Saccharomyces cerevisiae S288C: one gene and its partners. Changing the gene in region 3 together with the main gene of any one other region gives a genetic interaction. Each region holds a gene or a part of one and is shown on either strand. Other genes may lie near its edges.

The links.
Region 1: mutations in ERG28 (region 3) and ERG24 are lethal when combined (synthetic lethality), as found in Saccharomyces cerevisiae (one study listed by BioGRID).
Region 2: mutations in ERG28 (region 3) and ECM22 are lethal when combined (synthetic lethality), as found in Saccharomyces cerevisiae (one study listed by BioGRID).

What each region holds. Positions count from the first base shown.
Region 1 is NC_001146.8:108,519-112,208, forward strand, and holds ERG24 (delta(14)-sterol reductase), read right to left. Parts: upstream 1,894-3,690; coding exon 577-1,893; downstream 1-576. Other genes in the region: HCH1 (Hch1p), read left to right, coding at 1-410; pheromone-regulated protein PRM1, read left to right, coding at 2,399-3,690. UniProt on the Saccharomyces cerevisiae protein: Delta(14)-sterol reductase; part of the third module of ergosterol biosynthesis pathway that includes the late steps of the pathway. ERG24 reduces the C14=C15 double bond of 4,4-dimethyl-cholesta-8,14,24-trienol to produce 4,4-dimethyl-cholesta-8,24-dienol.
Region 2 is NC_001144.5:599,373-604,061, forward strand, and holds ECM22 (Ecm22p), read right to left. Parts: upstream 3,092-4,689; coding exon 647-3,091; downstream 1-646.
Region 3 is NC_001137.3:236,954-239,620, forward strand, and holds ERG28 (Erg28p), read right to left. Parts: upstream 1,064-2,667; coding exon 617-1,063; downstream 1-616. Other genes in the region: SAH1 (adenosylhomocysteinase), read right to left, coding at 1-166; MEI4 (Mei4p), read right to left, coding at 1,507-2,667. UniProt on the Saccharomyces cerevisiae protein: Part of the third module of ergosterol biosynthesis pathway that includes the late steps of the pathway.

The DNA of each region.
Region 1 (3,690 bases), on a different chromosome or scaffold from region 3:
CTTGGTCTAAGGACTACTTGAACGGTAAATTAACGAGTTTGTCCACTGTTTCCTCTGATGGGAAGAGCAAAATTGAGTTAACCCAGGTGAGTAGCATCACCGGTGACTCCAACGTATCTCAAAGGAAGGGCAAGCCGATTTGCTACTTTGACTTACAGTTGTCGATGAACGTCAAAGTGACAAATTTGGATACTAATAAGGACGACGAGGATGATGACGGCATACTTGCGGACGGGAAACTAGAAATTCCAGAGTTTATGCATGACGAGTCTGATATTCCGATTTTGTCGCAAGGGTTTGATGCTTTTGATGGATTGGTTAGGTCTGAATTTGTCCCTAAAGTAGTGGAAACGCTACTAAAATACCAAGATGACTTGATTAAAGAACACTCAAAGGATATACAAGTTTGATGTGTTCATGTAACGAAAAGGGGAGCGTTGCATAGATAGACCACCGCCCCTTTTAATTTTTCCAGCGTTTTCAATTGTTATTCTTCTTCTTCCTCATACTCACCCAATACATAACATGTATACACACATACATAGATAATGAAGAAAATAGCAGTGGTAGAAAAACTTAATAAACATATGGAATGATCTTGTAAGGAACTTTTCTTTCGTATTCTTCCCAATTTTCGCCATATTTCAGGCGGCACTTGTGCTCATCACGTTGTTGACGGTGTAATAACAACGTGGCGAAGTACAACGAGTAGTAATATGTCAAGGGAGTTTGGAACCAGGTGGCCAAACACCAACTTAATGAAATCAGCCAATCGCCAAAGTAATTGATATGCTGTGATTTAGCCCACCACCCGTCACATAATAACTTTGTACCACGCTTTGTCTGAATACTTTTTAGATTTTCTAATTTACCTTGTCTAAACTCAGATTTTTGCTTATTTGCCGAGTGGAAGATGTGGAAACCCAAAAACATTATGGCTAATATACCGACAACTTTCACCCATCCCAATTCCACAGGGGAAACACTCAAGTAACGCGCTTGTAATGAGTAGGTGAATGGAACTAAACTTAAGTCACCAAACGCTAGCATGAAACCAAACCCATCTGTAGTGATATCCATCATGGTTAATACACCTTCCTCGTTTAGTACTCCATCGAAAATGTAAAATCCTTGCAAGAAATTAACCAAGACCAATGCATCGTTGATTTTACCAGTCTTCAGGTAATGGTGATGCAGACAGGAAAGATTGATCAGTAACCATAACAACATGCCGGGTCTCAACTCTGAAAACATCTTGATATCTAATGGGCCGAGACGAGGGTTCAGTTCTCTACCAATAAACCAATCGTAAATGATGTTTCCTGAATTTCCACCTAGTGCTAAGATCTTTTCCCTTTTGCCATTACCATTTTTCTTGAAGATCAATGGTATGAAGCTGGCAACATAGCAGTACGTCGCCAAAAAGAACGAAAACAAAATAGATATTATGCATAAACTAACGTGATTTTCATACAGATATTGCAATTCAGGCAATTGTCCATCAGTCAATTTCCATCTGATAGCCAAAACTAAGACCAAAGTTGTAGACATGGCAATTCCATTGATCTTATACGAAAGCTTCGAACCATCCCTTAACTGAACACCCTTCATGACTCTGCCCGGTAAAATGACGTCCAAAACTGCCAGTATTCCATACCACAGGCAATAGACAGTCCATAATTCACGATTGCCCAGATAGTAGCGCAATGGCTTGATACCGTTCCAAAGCTCAACTATATCGAAATTCTGGAAAAATCCCTTAATAAAATAATCGGGCCTTATCATTTGATTCAAGATGATAGTGAAAACAGGCAGCCCTATGCTGATGCCTAAGGCACCAATCAGCCCACCAAATTCAAACTCTGTAGTTCTGGGATTCAAAGCTGATACCATCCTTTTATTCTCTACACCGAATTTGTCTTTACTCCTATGCTGTTTACAAGGTCTATCTGATAAGCAATTGCGCAAGAAAATAGTAGAATGAAAACTGATTATTAAAAACAAACGTAAACTCAAGCCTCACTTGATGCTCAGACGGAGTACGTGAAAAACGTCCGTTATGCAAAACCCTTTATATGCACAACCTTCACACAATGCAAATTTCCGATGATGCCTACATACAAAAGAGCGAAAGGCGATATAAATTTTTTTCACGGGATTTTCGTTTAGGTGAAAATAAAATGAACGACAGAGCATGCAGAGTCCGGGTAATACATATGTTTCAATACTGTTTCAATACTGTTTCAGAAGTGCGTCACATATTAATTTTAACTTATAACTGGCCTGTTGCTGGCAAGAGGTATATATATATGACGAATGTGACCAACATAAGTCCTTAAGATAATCCCGAAATATTTGGTTAGGATGATTCCCTTTCGAATTTGTGAACGTTGATGATATGAGCGGTTTTAAATGCTATTTGCAATTGGGTGACAGGCTCTCTCAAATATGGCTAAATAAGTATACTTTGGTTTTGCTGCTAGCAATGCTGAAGCTTCTGTTTTTCTCCAAATCCATACAACATGCGATAGAAGTCTCGGAAACGTATATTTTGTCCAATTGTTACAGTATTGATTCACTATACTCCAAGATGACAGACAACACGCCGCACTATTTAGGTATCATGGGGAATTATCTTATCGAGAAGGGTATGGAGGAGACTGTTAAAGCTACGCTAGAGACGTTATCACTTATAGTATATGCGAGCGAGGGGCTGGTAAACTTTGCCATTGACCTGTATTTGGGCACTTATGCCTGTTTGATTGTTAGTGCCGTTGATGGTACCGTGGACGTTGCTACTAACATTACAGAAAAACTGATTAGCTTAGTCAATGATACAGTTTCAAGTGTGGCTAATGAATTGGATACGGGCTTGAATGACATCTCCAAAATAATCAATAAAGTGATCAAGGCCGCATCCAAAGTAGAGAATTTTTTCACAGGTGATGACGATGACAGTAACATGACGTCGTCAATCAAAAGCGTCAACTTAACCATATCTGCGCTTCACAATTTATACATTCCTTCCTCAATCAACGATAAGCTTGAAGAGTTATCGGCAAAGACGCCGGACTTTGCCCAGGTTAAGAATACAACCAAGAACCTGATCTCGGTTCCCTTCAATGAAGTTCGGAAGAATATCAAGGCCGTGAATGCCAGCAATATAATCGGAGATACCTCCGTTTTGTACGTACCTCCCGTGTCCCTTGACAACAGTACTGGGATTTGCTCATCCAATCAATCAGAAATTTTGGCCTTTTATTCCATCTTGGGACATGTCCTGAAAATAGCCACCGTAGTGTGCATTACCGTATTGATATGCTTCGCTGTTGGTGCGATGGCGCCCGTTGCATGGAATGAAATCAAGCTCTGGAGGCGCCTTTGCGGAATGAGAGACCATTACATGCTGAGCAGGCAAGATTCGTATACGTCCTTTTCCAGTGAAAACACGCACGAATTGAAAGATCCATTTAGAGATCCTCCTATACAAAATGGCCAATATGATGTCATTGCAAGCTATCAGCAGTGCTTTCAAACATGGAACACAAGAATAGCAGGCTGGATGACAAATCTTGTTACCTTTGGAAAATCACCAGAGAACATTGACCCAAAGACTAAACAAAAAATAGAATGGGTAGTGGCTTATATGACCTCCGAAAGAGCACTGTGTGTTCTTGGAATTGGACTTTT
Region 2 (4,689 bases), on a different chromosome or scaffold from region 3:
AGTAACAACAATTAAATTGAAGAAGAAAAAATAGTGATGCTCTGTAGAGATGTCATTTCCCTTCAATGTTGCTATATTCTCCTGGCACATTAACGTATGCCCACTATTAGTGCCTTTAACAATAGAATCCCAACAATTATTCAATTATTCACCCATAAAATCCACCTATTTTTCAAGAAAGCATTAGATTTGCTCATTATTATTTATTATTAACATAAAAGTGCCTTTGGTAGTTACTATGTATTTAGTGTGGTGACCCGTATTCCTCATATATATAAGTAGCTACCACATTATGTTCAATCAATATATCTTTAACTCAGCTCAGCATTGTCTGAATTGCTCGCTTAAGTTTTTATCCTGTGATTAGTGCATTTACACATAAACGTATACCGGGTGTACCTCAATATACTATGTAAACATTTAAATTGTTACCATAACAACTCATGTTATTATTAATGATCACTTGACAACATATAAAAACGAAAGAAGAAATAATAATACTACTATGTATAAGTATCCATTTCCTTTTGTGGATTCCTCAAAATGGCCAGTATATTCGGAAGTAACATAATGTAGTTATTCATCGATGAGGTTCACATTCTGTAGCACTGACCCATCGAAAGAAAAGAGTTTATATTTTGATAAATTACATAAAAGCTGAAAAGTTTGTAGTGGTCATAGAAGGTAACCCACCTCCTAAGAAATCCAGCATCATATGCATACCACCACCTCCACTATACTCATCAACATCCTGTGGTAAAACCTGTGATACGCTATCCAAGAACCACACTTTGTCCTTTATTTCTGTGGTATAACCTCTCAATAATGTATAGTAAGACCTCATTATTCTCATGGCCCCTAGGTCGCCTGTCATTAATAATGCTAAAAAAGTCCTATCCAAAAGAGCAGGAAATGAGAAGACTCTCAACATAAAATCTAATTGATTTTTTTCGCGATGCAGTTTGTCCAAATATGCTAAAGTTATCAAGTACGGTGAATCAATTTCTACGGGATATAAATCTGCTATACTTTCGTCAAAGCATACGAGTTCCGATATCGTATTATTGTTATTTCCATCACCATTATTGCTATTGTCATTATCATTATTATGATTACTTTGGTTGATTACAGCTTCACCCAAATCACTCAAGTCAACAGAAATTAAGTTATAAAACTTGGATGTCTCCGACAGGGGCCATACAGCAGTTAGTATAGTTACGGCGCCTTTAACATGGAAAATCCATGCCGTTGGTGAGCTGCTTGAAGCATTTGCCAATGAATCTAGGATTAATATTAGAGCACTAGCCACCAAAGCATCTGTGTTATCATCTGAAATTTCGAGCACAGCCTCTCTTAACAGTCTCAACGCTTCTAAACGATGACTAGACACGTAGTTATCCAAGCCGGCTTCAGTTCTGGACAAATGAGTGGCGCTAAAAGCCAAAATTGTATGCATCAAGAAGGGAAAATGAAAAGCCAAATCCGGAATATAAGTGCTCCATACTTCAGGACCAGAAATGCCTGCTTCGGTTATGGTATGCCATACGTCAGTACAATAGTGATGAAAAAGTTTTAGATCTATCAAATTCAAATTTGATTTTCTAGACAGCCCGACTAATTCAGGGACTAGTCGTGAGGCTGATGAAGCGTTTGAATGGGGAGAAGATTGTTGTTGAGTGTGAGAATTTGATGAACGTGGAGACAATGCCTCCGAGTTGGATAACAGGTCACCCATTGGGGACGTCTTCAAAGTAGGAGAATTTCCCAAAGCGGTCCTGTTGTCCGGTATAGATAACAATGACTTTGTAGAGGTTACATTGGATACTCCCGTTGAAGGGGACGCAATGTTTTGATCTATGGAAGGTTTGGACAACGTGTGTGGGGGACTGATTGTGAGACCGGTATTGTCGATTATCAAGTTTTTGTTATGAGATAGTATATCAGAAGCAGTAACTTTATTTTCGTTTCCGTTAAGGGGGTTATTGCCCGAATTAACAGCATCCGTCTTAGTATTATCCAATGGGTTCTTCGTAAATTGCTTGTTTTTGTCCTCCTGTTCCTGTTGCATATTTGCGAGTGCCTCCTCTGCTGTGCTAACTTTGATTGCTCTGTTATTAGATGTAGCAAACTTTCCGAGGCCAAATAACTCTTGAAACTCAGAGGCCATTCCATTTGCAGCACCGTATGGAAATAATGTATTGAAGCTCTTCATATTGAAGTTCAAGCCCATCTTGTTCAATTGCGCTAGCTGGTCGAAGGGAATATTGCTGAAGGGGGACTGTGTTCCTTGTTGTTGTGGAATTTGCTGATTTTGTTGTTGAAGTTGTGGCTGCTGCAATCCATTCGTCACCGAATTTAGCCTACCAGGCGAGAGTAAGCCGTTAAGGCTACTTGATAAATTCATGGCCGTTGATTGAAAACTAGGTGTTATCGGTATACTCAATGGCGAATTCCCTGGTAGGGCCATGTTTGGGTGGTTGTTGTTTATCATTGAACTGGGAGCTGTTTGTGTTATATTATTATGCGCTTCAGCTCCATTTGCACTGCTGTTGGTACTGTTACTGGTGTTATTCACTAAACTCGCTAATAGGTGCGGTAACAAAAGATTCTCCATATTATTGGATACGGATGGAGGAACGCTATTAGGGGAATTGCTTTGTTCATCAGTACCAACATGTGGCAACAGTTGCTGCTGTAACTGAACTTGCTGTTGTTGACGAAATTGCTGTTCTTGTTGATGATGAAGTTGCTGTTGTTGTTGTTGTAACATGATGGCATTGTCACTCAGATTTTTCTTGCCTACCCTATCGTGGACCGCTGATGCAAATTTTGACGACGAAGAATCTTTTCTTCTTCTTGGCTGAATAGGGCTGTAAACACAGTCCAATTTCATGTTTGTACATTTCTTGCAAAATGGTTTGCCTTCATCACATTTTACTCTTCTTCTTTTACAATTGTCGCAACCGGTCTTGGACTTGTTATGAAACTTCCGTTTCCCTGTCGAAGTCTTGCTCACTTTCTTGCCCCCAACCTCAATCAGTTCAGCATCCTTCTCTCTTTCTTGTCCAGCATTCCCATCATCGGATGTCATGTTATGTTAGATGGAGATCTATGGATAAACGAAATATAAACCTTAAATGAAAAAAACCGTCGACTTAACTCCTCTATATTATGTAAAGGCGAAATGTTATTTGTGCCTTTGAAAAGTGGAGGTCTTGGTTGCTTCTCCTTCGACGATAATCGATTTCGGTGACTAGTTAGTAGATGATGTAATCGTAGACGCAGGGAACCCTTGCTTTTCCCCAATCGTAACAAAAAAAAACAAGGGGAAATAAACTATTAGATAGTACGAGTTCGTTAAGTTAAAAAAAAGGCTATAAAAGTCGAAGAACGAATGATTACGACCAACATCTATTGTTCAAACTTGCCTTCGTTGAGTTTATCGAACGCGCTCGTTTAAATTTTTCCGACAAGAACGAGGAACGAGTCACCAATTACGTTTTCGGCTCTGTCGGTTGCAGGATCTGTAAAAGCGATATAGATACACACGTCAGCATGAAGCTCTTATGATTTGGCGAGTAGTGTTAGTACGTTAAATGCTACGACTCGGCATATACTGTGCTCGTTTTTATCAGTTTCATCCGAGGATTGTAGCCTTTTTTTTTCATTTGTTGATGTTTCTCTAGTATTTTCCGTCTTGTAGTGGTTTCGGGTATGTTGAACATAAACATTAAAAAAGACGATTAAATAAACTTGAGTTTGTACAAAGGAAAGCTGTAGTCATAGAGTATTTAGAAAAAAAAGCAGCCACAGTTTACATGAAGATGTGACCAATGAGGAGGCATCGGTTTGCCTTTGAATCTCAATCGCTTGAAAATTGAGTTCTTTTCGAATGATGACACCTCCGAGAAATGGCATTTCTATGCTAGCGCCACTCTACCCTTTCAAACGTCCGTACTCATATGAAGTTTCATCCTTCACGCAGCGATCTAAAAAGTTGTAAAAAAAAATACATTTAGGCCTAGCTATATATGCTACTATGTATCATTCAGTGAAATGGCTGAGGTTATATAAAATACTGGGAGGTCGTTTTTACGCTAAAGCAGACCTTGCGGATCTTTTCCTGTAGAATATATTTGTAGCATAAGTCCAATTTTACGGGCGCATTTTCAAAATCAAGGTGATATTGACATATTTTGAAGAGCACCCAATGGGCTAGCTGCAAGAACAAAGAGACCAGAAAGCCTAGAATTAAATGCCAGAAAAATGGAAATTTATTCTAGACAAAAATTGTTCGGCACCTCTACAGACGTTTAACGAACCTGGTCCGGCCTTTGAGGCGATCAAAAAAAGGCCCATTTTTGTGTTCCGCGTAATTGGTTTGCGCCTTTCCATGGAGCTTGGTGGGCGACATTCTCAAACTGGTTTCCTGATACATCATGCACGCCCGTAAAGGGTTTAAGTATTGATTGCTAGCCTGAATGTTTCATATGCATACCGTGTCTATGCAACGAATATATTTCAGAAAAAAGCACGAAAGCCAAATTTTTGATGTTAAGAGGTGTTTTTGCCCGTAAACGGAGAAGACGTGGTAGGACTCGCAAATGTCGCGTTTAGCGTTGAAGAACATGGAAGTATTGAACGTTTGGGGCTTGACGGCTCGACTTTTTTGCACTACTCCGCCTTGAA
Region 3 (2,667 bases):
GCAAACAACCAGCAATACGGGCGCCTTTCAAAGGTTGGACGTCACCGTAAGCCTTTCTGATGGCCATCAAACCTGGCATTTCATGTTCAGCCAATTCGATTTCCTTTCTACCGAAGGCAGCCAAAGAGATATCAGCGATTTTGTAGTTTTGAGCTGGAGCAGACATTGGGAATTGTTCTTTTTGTCAGTTGGGTTATTTCGAGGAGAAGAGGATTTTCAGAAAGAAAGAAAAACAAATAGGAATGGAATCATGGAGTTAATAAACCACGTTACTAAATAAGAGATTGGAAAATCTAAAATACGGCTTCGAGGTCGTTTAATTTTCTTTTTCCTCTGAAAATTTTCTTTCTTTTTCGGCCTTAGCCTGTGAAAATTTCGGCCGAAAAAAAAGCCAACGAGATCACGTGCACAGAAATATCTGCGTTAGAGGAGAGAGGTAGGGATACTTACAGAAATGAAGCCAAATTGGCAGCTTTTTGAGAAATAATCATGAATGATAAACAATTGCTGTTAAATAATGTACGGAAGGTTTGGATAAAGGTTGCTATAGGCATTATATAAATAAATCATCTCTATATAATTTTTTTTACAGGATATGCTTGCCCTTACATCAGAATTACCAAGCAACACCAGTGTAGTATTCTCTTTGTTTGTACATCCAAACCAAAGAGGTGGTTGAGACAACCAATGGACCCATGAATCCCTTTCCCAACTTACAAGTTCTAAAGATCAATAATTCAGAGCCGAAGTGGAATAGGGCAACCATATAAGACATGAAGACCAATTCGAAAATGTGTGGTTCATTCAAGTACATAGCCCCATAGAATCTGATAACACAGGAAATAAAGGTCCAAGTACCGAAAGTTCTTGCACTCAAATGGGTTGTTTCAGTGGGTTTTCTTTCGTAGACTTTACGTGTCAATTCTAAACCAGAAACGTAAGTCTGGATAGAATTGAAGACTGATACAATGGAAATGAAAAGTAACCATTTTGGTAAGTAACCTTTTGGCATTGCTGCCAAGGTGGTCTTGGTTGTAGTTATTACGTCTTGTAGGCTGAACATTATCTGATACTTTAGTGTATTTGAATCCTTCGATACTATGGTCTAGCTAGTGTCAAGAATATAAAAACCTGAAATTAGTCAATGCGTTTACGTCAAAAATAGTAGCAATAGTAAAGCAAAACAACAGGCTTGTTCAGCTTAGTTTTATATACGGGGGTAGAGAATACAATGGATCGTACCTTTTTTTTTGTTTCCTGTTCGTTCCGTCCCCGAACGAAAAAATCATAAAATAGAAGTTTCCTATCGGTAATACCGTAAAGTTTAATTCAGTTCGTATAAGATTAGGTTAATCATGGGCAAGTCCGGAAGAAGCGTTTTAATGTAGGTCTGTTGGGGAAGATGTTGTGTTCACTGTAATTTTCAACTGAAGTTGTTGTCCCCGAAATGAAAGAGCTTTCGATATTTTTGTGTTTTATAATGCGCCTCCTACTGCAAAAGAAAAATTAAATGTTTTCTGTCTCATTGAACCATCTTGACAATCGAAAGCGCGCTATCAAATTTCTTTCGGCAGTAATTAATAAGGCCGCCTGTATATATTTCCTTTTCTTCTGAAGCGATATTTCATGAGCCGGAAATTTTTCCAGGAAAGGTTTTAAGTGCTGCCATTCAATGCTTTCAAATGTCTCGAGCAATGATAGAATAACTATCTTGAGTATTTTCAATAGACCCCCTAACTCTTTTTCTGGGACACCGCTTATTACACTGTAAAAGTTCTTTAAGTAGGTTTTCTTCAAACTCAATTCTCTTTCGAGGTATACTCGACAGTACGCCTTTTTCCGGTTGATGCATATTAGTTTATGCTTCGATACAAATCTAATAAGTACATGTATCAGACTTTCGATGATGATAAGTATGTGTTCAATTAATTTCAGAACAGATACGTATTTTAATATCTGCGGTTCAAATGTTTGGTTTGTCTTGATTTTGATGAGTTGAATGTTAATAATAGAGTAAATAAGGGTAAAATGCAACGAACACAAGCGCTTGTAGTCAACTTTATCACATAAATGTTTGCCATCTCCCTGGTCGTAAAAGTTTTGAAGCCATTTTGGATCGTTTTGGTTCTTCTTCAATAAAATTCTATTAAACAGAAACTTGGCGATGAAATTGAAAACATGAACGTCTATCAGTGTCCTCTTAAAAGAAGAATCAGAATCTATGCGATGCGAATAATGAGAAACTAACAAGATTTGGAGTGTTTGAAACACTTGCGATAACCCTCTAAAGTCAATTTCTTTTGTTTTTAAGCTCAGGATTTTTAGCAGAATTTTATATCTCGGTAAAAACCAGTTGTTTATATCAGCAGTTGATACATCTTTGCTAAATGATTGCAGCTCCTTTAAACCAACTGCATCTTCGAAGCTTTTGTACTTATTCTGGCAAAGGAAATTGTATATAGGTTCCAGATGAGCAAACAGTGATTTATTATTCAAAAATCCATTTTCGAAAGGCGCAACCCATTTGTATATATGTTTTGAGTTTTCCCGAGGATTTATTTTTAAATTTTTTTCACTCTTGAGAGCACCTACATCTTCGACATCTCCTTTCTTTCTTGAAAGTGCCCTCTTCCACAACGTAGGATTCCTGGATTGAATTAAAGCAAA